Arabidopsis thaliana: one gene and its partner. The protein of the gene in region 2 purifies or fractionates together with the protein of the main gene of each other region. This does not show direct contact. Each region holds a gene or a part of one and is shown on either strand. Other genes may lie near its edges. The genes, in order: HON5 and AT3G58510.

Evidence for each region.
Region 1: the proteins of AT3G58510 (region 2) and HON5 fractionate together in Arabidopsis thaliana (co-fractionation; one large-scale study listed by BioGRID). This does not show direct contact.

The regions. Positions count from the first base shown.
Region 1 is NC_003070.9:17,973,085-17,978,461, reverse strand, and holds HON5 (high mobility group A5), read left to right. Parts: upstream 1-1,798; 5' UTR 1,799-2,160; coding exon 2,161-2,400; intron 2,401-2,485; coding exon 2,486-3,379; intron 3,380-3,915; coding exon 3,916-3,990; intron 3,991-4,083; coding exon 4,084-4,314; 3' UTR 4,315-4,820; downstream 4,821-5,377.
Region 2 is NC_003074.8:21,638,305-21,644,462, reverse strand, and holds AT3G58510 (DEA(D/H)-box RNA helicase family protein), read right to left. Parts: upstream 4,486-6,158; 5' UTR 4,414-4,485; exon of another isoform or gene 4,186-4,413; intron 3,962-4,185; 5' UTR 3,856-3,961; coding exon 3,124-3,855; intron 3,029-3,123; coding exon 2,945-3,028; intron 2,558-2,944; coding exon 2,315-2,557; intron 2,047-2,314; coding exon 1,885-2,046; intron 1,793-1,884; coding exon 1,679-1,792; intron 1,503-1,678; coding exon 999-1,502; 3' UTR 668-998; downstream 1-667. Other genes in the region: AT3G58520 (Ubiquitin carboxyl-terminal hydrolase family protein), read left to right, coding at 1-542; PP2A-4 (protein phosphatase 2A-4), read left to right, coding at 5,552-5,644.

The DNA of each region.
Region 1 (5,377 bases), on a different chromosome or scaffold from region 2:
GCTATCAATGATACATTCGGCCCAAATTTTTGTGTTGTGGTGGACCTGGTTGCATTTGTTGACTTTAGTCAGCTTGGGCATTTATCCATTTGTGGACATCATTGTTACATTGTAGACCTATGAGATTGATAATATTTATGGTTAAACATTATTATATCGTTTTTCAATTTCCAGATGCGCCAAACCATCCCAAAAGGTAGAAGTCGGATATATGTAACAGAATGATTTGGAGTTATTGAGATTTGGACTTAAGATCATTCGTTAGGCTGAATAGAGCAGTCCATAGAATCCCTGAACATCTCCAATTAGCGTAATCTCAAGTGAAGAATAGAGACTTGGCCCTTTAGATGTCATGCTTATTCTGCACAAACTCAAATAATTCGTTTGTTTTCTTCCAAATTGCTCTAGTAAACTCAAATATTTGTTTCCTCCTCCAATTTTTGTTATCTCTAGGATTCTATGAATATGCGTTTTATTCAAATATTATTAAGAATGTCTCATAGTTAACCTTTTGAGTTGAACACTTATAATAATTGGCACACACATATATATATATATATATATATATATACTGTAACCAGTAGTTTTTGTTTTGCAACTTTGCAAAAACACAAATAATCATCGGCGAATAAGAAATGATTAACCGTAGGAACAGACTGAGCGATGCGTATGCTCTCGATGCCACCATTTGTTTCAACTTTGATGATCAGTTGACTTAAAATCTCTGCACATAGAATAAAAATATATGAAGACAAATCATCGCTTTTGTCGAATTCTCCATGAAAGCTTCCAATTTTCATAGGAAGTGCCATTTACGAGGACATAGTATGAGATGGTGTTAATGTTCATCATAATCCAAATAAATGTTAAAACATTAAGAATATGAAAAAATGATTTGTTATAAATGTAGATAATGAAATTATAAATCTTATTCTAGAAAAATTTTAAATATAAAAAATGAAAACTTTTTTGAAAACTTTCAAAATTAGATAAGAAAATTGTTTATATATAATTTATTATGGTACATGAATAGAGAATTAGAATAACAAAACAAAAAGTTGAAAGAAACACAAAATGAAAAGGCTATACAAGAGAATTTAAATCAGCCATGACGAGAGAGTAACCCAATTAGACTATGGTGATTTAAATCTAAACTTTTTATTTTAGAAAGTTTATATTAAAGAATATAAATTTGAATGTTTGTGGTGTGAAAAAATTCAACTTACCTTTATTGGTTATGTATATATGGATTGAAAAATGAATAAGGAGTTCAAATATATTTTCTGAGCTTAATTTTTTTAAATCATATTAGTGTCATTTTGCGTAGTTTAACAAAGAATCTCGATGAAAATTTAGCGTTGTAAATTTATTTCGTTAAGCAACTTAACGAAGTGTCTTATTTCAAAAAGTCAATAAAATTAGCTATTAAAAATTTAAAACAAAAAGTGAATTAAAATTTGAGTTTTATTTTACCTAAAACAGTATTAACGTGTTTATAATAGCACTTTTTAACTGTTGGAGATTTTCTTTTTCTTTTTTTTGAATTAGAGTGAGATAGTGATCAAGAAAATGAAGAAGGTGTTAGTGCACATCATATAATCCAAGTAAATGTTAAAACATAAAGAATATGAAAAACTGATTGGTTAGAAATATACATTTTTTTTTGTAAACCGATATTAAGTAGAGAATTTAGTATAAAAAATCTTGTTCTAGAAATTTATTAGTATAAAGAAATGAAAGCATGTTTAAAAACTTTCAGAATTAGAAAAAAAATGTTTACATATAGTTTAATATGGTACTTGAATAGAGAAGCAGAAAAACATATAAAAAAAATTGAAAGAAACACAAAACTCAATTTTAATAACAAAAGCAAAAAACGCCACGTCATCGATCCGTGTCGTAAATCAGCACCAAAATACACTTTCAACGGTCAGATTTTAACTATCTCATCTGTCGTCATTTTCGATCTCTCTCTTACACTACTACACACACTCTCTCTCCTCCAACCTAACTATTTTTTATTTTTTATCTTCTCCTTCCACAAAACTTTTTTAATTTTATCTGAAAAATTAAAACAACCGAAACAAAAAAAAAAAACTAAAAATCAAAAATCTCATCACCTTCCTTGCTCTGTATTTTTTCTCTCTCACTAAATCCTCCATGGATCCTTCTCTCTCTGCAACCAATGATCCTCATCATCCTCCTCCTCCTCAGTTCACATCTTTCCCTCCTTTCACCAACACCAACCCCTTCGCCTCTCCAAACCACCCCTTCTTCACCGGACCCACCGCCGTCGCGCCGCCAAACAACATCCATCTCTATCAAGCAGCTCCTCCGCAGCAGCCACAAACATCTCCAGTTCCTCCTCATCCATCTATTTCCCACCCTCCTTACTCTGACGTAAGCTCTTCTTAGCTCATTCTTACATTTTGACTTTAAAGTTAGGGTTTTTAATTTCCACTCACTTTTTTTTTTCGTTGATTAGATGATTTGCACGGCGATTGCAGCGTTAAACGAACCAGATGGGTCAAGCAAGCAAGCTATTTCGAGGTACATAGAGAGAATTTACACTGGGATTCCTACTGCTCATGGAGCTTTGTTGACACACCATCTCAAGACTTTGAAGACCAGTGGGATTCTTGTCATGGTTAAGAAATCTTACAAGCTTGCTTCTACTCCTCCTCCTCCTCCTCCTACTAGTGTAGCTCCTAGTCTTGAACCTCCCAGATCTGATTTCATAGTCAACGAGAACCAACCTTTACCTGATCCGGTTTTGGCTTCTTCTACTCCTCAGACTATTAAACGTGGTCGTGGTCGACCTCCAAAAGCTAAACCAGATGTTGTTCAACCTCAACCTCTGACTAATGGAAAACTCACCTGGGAACAGAGTGAATTACCTGTCTCTCGACCAGAGGAGATACAGATACAGCCGCCACAGTTACCGTTACAGCCACAGCAGCCGGTTAAGAGACCGCCGGGTCGTCCTAGAAAAGATGGAACTTCGCCGACGGTGAAGCCAGCTGCTTCTGTTTCCGGTGGTGTGGAGACTGTGAAACGAAGAGGTAGACCTCCGAGTGGAAGAGCTGCTGGGAGGGAGAGAAAGCCTATAGTAGTCTCAGCTCCAGCTTCAGTGTTCCCGTATGTTGCTAATGGTGGTGTTAGACGCCGAGGGAGACCAAAGAGAGTTGACGCTGGTGGTGCTTCCTCTGTTGCTCCACCACCACCACCACCAACTAACGTAGAGAGTGGAGGAGAGGAGGTTGCAGTCAAGAAACGAGGAAGAGGACGGCCTCCTAAGATTGGAGGTGTTATCAGGAAGCCTATGAAGCCGATGAGAAGCTTTGCTCGTACTGGAAAACCCGTAGGAAGACCCAGAAAGGTAAAATATCATTCCTTTTTGTCTCTGCGATTACACAGTGATTATAGAGAACTTGAATATTTCTAGTCAAATAGATAAGAGAATAAAAGTTGGAACTTTTGTCTTGTGAATAAATGTCACTTTCCATTCTCAACATTGTCTCTTTCGAGCGTGTGTGTGGAGACTAGAGAGTATCTAACTAAATAAATTCTAGAGTTTAATTTATATTCGTGTCTCTGCTTTTGGCCTATACTTAATCTGGTTTTGTGGTGTACTATTAATCTAAGATATCTCTTTGTTTGGTAATCAAGAGCAACTTGGTAGGTGGCTCGCTTTAGCAACCAATAATTGTTCAGTTGAAGTGTGAGAATTACATATGAACTTATCTTTTGAGACAGACATCTTATCAAGTTTTGTCTGTTTTAAGCAGAAATTTAGTTAATTCAGTCAAAGTTCAAGAGTTTGTGTATTTCCAAGTCCACTAGAATTTCTTTGTCTATTATATTGATGAGTTAGTTATCTAATTACATTTATATTATTGCCATTTATAAACATAGAATGCGGTGTCAGTGGGAGCTTCTGGACGACAAGATGGTGACTATGGAGAACTGAAGAAGAAGTTTGAGTTGTTTGTAAGTAATCTAATGAACAGAAACACAATATGGTCCGTCCTTGGTTTTGATACTTAATTGCTTATGCTTGGTTTTGATATCTCATTTATGCAGCAAGCGAGAGCTAAGGATATTGTAATTGTGTTGAAATCCGAGATAGGAGGAAGTGGAAATCAAGCAGTGGTTCAAGCCATACAGGACCTGGAAGGGATAGCAGAGACAACAAACGAGCCAAAGCACATGGAAGAAGTGCAGCTGCCAGACGAGGAACACCTTGAAACCGAACCAGAAGCAGAGGGTCAAGGACAGACAGAAGCAGAGGCAATGCAAGAAGCTCTGTTCTAAAGATAAAGCCTTGACATAAAAAGCTAGCAAGTGGTGGGTTTACTTGTTGTGTGTTACATGAAATTTTTAATCTTATAAGGGTGTTTGCAGGAGAAAAACAAAAAGAACAATGTGATGAACTGATGATGATGATTGTGTCTCTAACCAAACAACAAGGAGAGGTAGGGTAATGTCTGTAAAGTGAATTAGGATGTTACCATTGTTCATGCTTCCCATCTCTCTCCATCGTCCATATCTGTGTAGGCAGCTTTGTTCTTTGTTCCCTCGTGTTTTTTTTAGACTGTTGTGTCTCTTATTCTATTTTGTCTCCTTAGGCTTTTTAGGAGTTGTTGTTGATGTTTATCAAAAACGCTTATGTAATTTTTATGACCACTTCTACTTTTTATGATGGTTTCTTCAAGTCTCTTACGTTATGTAGTTAGAAAACCATTAAATAAAAGTTGCTTATGTCAGTTGCTCTGTTTTAATTTGAAATCCGGTTTTAATTTTAAGTGTACTTATTGCAGAAATTAGGTAGAAGGTATAGAACGGTTTTACTCTTCACTCACACACCATTTAACCAAATTTCTAAATTTATTACTCGATAAACACTTTTTTAACAAGTTTTCAATACTTTTCTCCAAAAAAATTTTGAATTTGAAATAAAGTAGTGTATTTTTCGATTTTGGTTTTATAAATCAACTTTTTTTTTTGAAAAAGTTAAAAAGAAATCACCACCACATTTGCATGTTATACTATAATACCAAAAAATTAATATTCGTGATTTATTTTAAAAATCTGTGAATTAAAAAGAAAAATGAAATGTTGATAAATAAAAATAAAAACAAGGAGTAAAGGTGGACCCATATCGGTTGACGCAACTGATTCTGAACCTCTCGGTCGTTCGTTTCTACTCTTTCCAAGCTCTAGCCCATGGTGGTGACCTTCTTCTTCTAACCGCGAAAACCATCTCTATCTCTCTTATCTTTCTTCTCCGCCAAGTTTCTCTTTGTAATTTCTTTCTTCTTCCTCCAGATTCTTCAAGCTTCCTTTACCATCTCGCGAATCCTTCTATTAAGTTGAA
Region 2 (6,158 bases):
GTTTCCCTAGAGGATATGGAGCACAGAAGAAGGTCAAAGCATGGATGGATGAGTTTCAAAAACTTCCCTACATATCTCCTTACGATGACCCGAGTAACATTGATCCGGAAAGCGATCTCATGGAGAAACGAGCTGTGGCTGTTTTGCACGAGCTCTTGAGCTTGACTATCCACAAGAAAACCAAGAGGAACTACTTGAGAAGCATGAGAGCGGAGCTCAACATTCCGCACAAGTTCACTCGTCTATTCACGCGATACCCCGGCATTTTCTACCTCTCATTGAAGTGTAAGACAACAACTGTGATCCTCAAAGAAGGGTATCGCCGAGGAAAACTAGTGGATCCGCATCCTCTCACTCGTCTTCGAGATAAGTTTTATCATGTGATGAGAACAGGGTTTCTTTATCGGGCGAGAGGGCTAGGCATGGTCTCTAAAGAGGAACTTTTGCTTGATAGGCCAGAGGATGACCTTGAGGAAGAAGGCTCTGAAGAAGAAGAGATTGTGGAAGGAAGTGAGCTTGAAGAAGATTCTGAAGCTGAATAGCAATAGTTGTTGAATCTAATTGTTGTATGTTAATTCACACAGAGCAACAATTTATGTACCTGCATTTTATCTTTTTGAAGTAACGGAACGGAGTTTAAACAATGTAAGCACAAAGTCCTTAAAATGATATAAAGAGAGATTGTATTTCACCAAGAAAGATTGTCAACAACAAAGGGAAACAAAAAGACAAATTGGATTTCAAACTAACAAATGAAATTGTTAGAAGAAACCAAGAACAAGATCAAAATCGGAAAAACTACTGTCTATCTTTTAGGACAAATCCTAAAAATAGCCTGAAAAAACAGAGAGATCCACCTAATAGCAAGATTAGTTAAATCCATCTCTTGAATGAGAGATCTCAAAGGTGGGGGCAAATACACGTGCTCTCTTGGGAATGTAGAAGAGAAGAAATAAATAGTCAGGTTAAAAAGAGGAAAAATTGGGGAGCCTAATTGGCTAATCCCAAGCACTGGTCACTCCAGCACCATACCCACCGCTTGGAGCACCACCGTATCCACCACCACCATAGCCTCCTCCGCCATAGTAATCACTGCCGCCTCCTCCGCCGCCGCCGCCTCCTCCTCTACTGTAAGAGCCTTCCCTTCTGAAGTCACGGCCACCAAACCGACCACCAGACCGTTTCTTACCACCACCAAATGAAGCACGTGAAGCATATCGTGTGAGCCACTCGGGGACCTCTTGATTGGCTTCTTGCATTAGCTCAGCAAGCGACCTAGCCAGTTGTGCATTGTTCTCGTTGAAGAAGGCAGTTGCTATTCCAGATTTGCCTGCACGTCCTGTTCGTCCGATACGGTGGACATAGTCATCAATGTCATTTGGTAGATCGAAGTTTACAACATGAGCCACGTGGGGAATGTCAAGACCACGTGCTGCCACGTCTGTTGCAACCAAAATAGGTGTCCTCCCAGTTTTGAAGGACCTCAGTGCCACTTCTCTTTCCTTTGAATTCATAACAACATAAAGAAGTCAATCAGATTGAGTCAACAGAGAACAACTTACTGATGATGATCTTTAAAGAGTTCATTTCAGTAATATCATCGAGGTTGTTTCTATAGTTTGGTTTTAGCTTTAGTGTGCACAATTATCCAAATTTCAACTTAACTCAATCAACGAACCTGTTGTGTTCTATCGCCATGAATGGAGGTTGCTGGAAACTCATTCATGCACAGCCAATTTTCCAAAGTATCAGCTCCCCTCTTTGTCTCCACAAAAACTAATGTCAATGATTGCTGTGTATAAAAAGTGAAGAAAGGCAGAATTAGTCAGAGCTTCAGTGATAATAAATCTTGGATAAGTGAACAGATGGTAAATAATGCATTACCTTGTCTTGGGTCTCTCTTTGCGCGTGAAGCAGGTCCATGAGATGGCTTCTCTTGTCAGACTCTTGGACAAACTCAACCCTTTGGGTAATTAAATCAGTGCTTGAACCAACTCTTCCCACAGCCAAAAATATATAGTTTGACATGAAATCAGCTGCAAGTCTCTGCACAGGAAACAAATACGGTAATATTAAAAGAAACGTTAAGAACCAATCATTCTTGTGCGTGCTGAATATTATGCAGCTGTTCTCACATAAGAAATATAACACTCTAAAGACTAAATCATCAAAGATTCACCTCATGATCTGGGAAGGAACAGAGTTACAGACATAAATCCAAGAACACTGTTATCCTGTTCTTTGTTACCATGCTACTTCACTAGAATAGAATTTAAGAGCAAGAAAAAGGTGTTTCATGGACAAGTAAACCAACCTGAATCTGACTTGGAAATGTAGCACTGAACAGCATTGTCTGTCTCACCCCACGTGGAGGCATGTCCATCTGCTCAACAATCTTTCTAATCTGTGGCTCAAAACCCATGTCCAGCATCCTGTCTGCCTCATCTAGAGCTAAAAACCTAATCATCTGCATTGAGACTCTAGCTCTTTCAAGCAAATCATTTAACCGGCCAGGAGTTGCCACAAGGATATCACATCCCCTCTCGAGTTCCCTGAGCTGAATAAACAATAAAATATGTGGTCAACAAATCGATGCTTGAAAACTGTTTGACTAACTAACACCTGTAACAAGGATTAAAAATTCCAATGCTTCTGCATGTTATGTAAAGATGATACAAGCGATACGACAATGTTAACTAGCATATGAAAAAATTTGTAATACAAGATTTGATTTTCGCCAACATTATGCATTGCTGACTTCAAAATCAGAACATATGTTGACAAAGGAGACTGGCATTGGGAAGGAAAGAGCTAGCAGAACTCAAATCAGTAAGCGAAAGCTGCTACTCACATAAAACAAAAAACAGTGCTAGAATCATGTAGCAAAATCCAAACTCCAATGACAAGCTAAAAACCAATAAACAAAAAAGTGTATGATAATTACCTGCTGGTGAATGGGTGTTCCTCCATAAGCAACAACAACCTTCACACCAGTTTGGTAGGAGAATTTTTTGGCTTCATCATGTATCTGCAAGAAAATCACAGAATGAGAAATGTGTATATTATATACACGTACATTTTTTCTTTCTGAAGAAACTCTATTCTTGTTGGTGTGTATATTACCTGGCATGCCAATTCCCTTGTTGGTGAGAGGATGACTGCAAAAGGGTAAACCGCCCGTGAACCACGGGGTCTTTCTACATGCTGATCTTTCATGATTCCACTAATTATTGGAAAGCAAAAAGCAGCAGTCTTCCCAGACCCAGTCTGGGCACAGGCCATCAAATCTCTCTCTGCAAGCAGTATTGGAATAGCATGACGCTGTACCGGTGTTGGCCTCACATACTTGCACCTCCGGATGTTCAGATTTAATGCATCCCCAAGATCTATGTCAGCAAATGTGTTAACAGGAGGGGGCACGTCTCCCCCACTGGTCTCAACTGGAATATCTTCATAGGCATCAAAATTAATGCCAGTATTCTCCTGCTCTGTAAAGACCGGTTCTAACTCAGCATCATCTCCAAATGGGTTTACTTCACGTTCCCTACGGTCCCACCCTCCACTTCTGTTGTTCCAGCCACCACCACCACCACCTCCTCCTCCAGCACCATAACCATAGCCAGTGCGCCCTCCATCATTCCTATAGCCACCGCCGCTGGCACCACCACCCCCACTGCTAGGAGGAGCCCAACGAGACCCAGCTGGTTGACCACCATACCCTGCATGATCATTTTGTGGCAAAGGAGCAGCAACAGGCTCTGATGGCCTGTTCCGTAGGTGTGGGGGAACATAAGGAGGCTTTGACTGAGAAACGGCCTTCTCTGAATCAGCCACATCTGCCCATGATGCACTCATGATTGAAATTTGTAACGTCCTAAATCTAGAAAAAGTTGCAACTTCCCAGCAGAAAACTTATCAATAAACAATAACTTTATCTTCTTATCCACGAAAAATAGAGAACCTGGCAAATACCAAATAGGTCAATAGTTAGCACAAACGCAATCATAGAAATCACAATAGCAGCTGTGTAATGTAAAAATCGAACTCCATAAGCAGGAAACCCCCAAAATCCGAAATCAAATCTACCAAGACGAAGAGAAACAAAGAGAACCCAGCCAGGGAACGCCAAGCGAAGCAAGCAAATTAGAATCGTATCACGCAAACAGAAGAAGAAAGGAGTATCACCTCAAACGAAATAAACCAATTAAGGAACCCTAGCTAGTTGATACAGCTCGAAATCGAGAGATAAACGTAGGCGGAAACAAAAAACGAGAGGATATAGAGAAAGAACCTCAAAAATCGGTGAGAGAGAATCGAATCGGTATCCAAAAAAACGAAGAAAATCAACGGTAGTCGTTCACCCAACGGAAAAGCAAGCTCGGGGGAGAGAAAAACCCTAAATTCGATGTTTACCTTCTGGATCGGACACAACGCGATAAAATAGACATGTTATTAATCTTCAAAATGACCTTAAGCCAAAAATATGGTATGATAATGAGATTAGCTTGTTTTATATTTTAAGAATTGATTTAAAATCTAATTATATACACTCATAAGAGTTTGAGAAAAACATATATACAATAATTATTGGGGAAACAAATTTACACTTAAATCTTTAGAACTTTAAAATTGTTTATTCTGAATTTAATTGTATCTAACTTAAAAACGATTCAACTTATATGTAAAAAAAAGTTCAAACCATATTTATTTCCAAAAATAGAGTAATCTAAATCTTTCATGAACCTATATTTTGAATATTATTTTTATGTTCGGACTCTCATGAATTGTCAATAATTAGAGATTTCTTCTTTTTTTTTTGGTTAAATTTATTTTTCATGAAGGAGCAAATCAATTTGTATTTTACATTCATCGTTCATAAATTTTAGTATGCATCATTAGAGAGAATAAAAATATATATGTCACATAAATTTTGGTCAAAATTTTATGTTGTAACCATTCAAATTTTAATTAAAATGATGTTTTGGCTAAATCAAAATTACATTTCATTAGCTATGAATAAATAGTTGATAATGTATTTTCCCATAGCTAGACCCTTATGTAAACACATTTTACTTAGATTATAGTTTTTTGAGAAAAAACTAAAATGTTTGTTAAAAATGAAAAATTCTTCAAAACAATAGTTGTATTGTATGTTTATATAGTTTTTGTGTGTTTAATTAAAAGAAATAAAACTACTTTACAAATTTTGTGTGTATTACCTATTTAAACACTTTTATAAGAAAACTAAAGGGTGTTTTAGTCAATTTATCATTTAGATCTCAACGAGGAGGATATAATGGTCAAATCAAGACACAGCTCGAAAGCTACAAACCCACTCGCCCCTTTACCTCACGCGCCCCTTTGTTTTGATTTCCTCTCTCACTCTGCACACGAAGGCGAGAGAGAGAGAGAAAGAAAAAAGCGAAGAATACGCAGAATCCATCCAATTTAGGGTTAGGGCTGCCCCTAATCTGGAAACCTTTGCCTCGTTTCTGATCTGTTTTCCGGATCCGACTTGAAGGAAAGAAGACGACGACGCACTACCAAAAACATGGGCGCGAATTCGCTTCCAACGGATGCAACCCTCGATCTAGATGAGCAGATCTCGCAGCTCATGCAGTGCAAGCCTCTCTCCGAGCAACAGGTGCCTGTGATTGTGTTAGAATATAGCTTTCCTCGCACCTTTTCGTTTTCTTCGTTTAAAATTGGATCTGTAATTTAGTTTTTCGAGTGAACTTTGGGCCATTTCGGTGATTAGATCTCAGATTTTGTTTCAAATCAAGGGTGGATTATTTCTGTGAGTATATGATGATCTGATTCTTCGAGAAGGATCTTCTAGTATAGGTGTAGAGCTCATTTCACGTCAGTTTTACGGGTTGATAGAAATGGATTTCATTTTTTTTTGTTTCTTAATGATTTCTGGCTGTATTGGATTCTGAATAGGCGATTAGCTCGCATTTCAATATGCTTTGTATTGTGGATTTGTCTCACCCACAGCCAAAATTGTATCCTTTTGATTAGGTGATTGGCTAGTTAAAATCTCATCAGTTAGATGCATTACTGGATTTTCCAATTGGGGGAATGTATCTTAAATGATAATAGATTTAGCTGAAGTTGAGAGAGAGGTTGCAATTCGATAAAAGTTCTTCTAAGCTAAT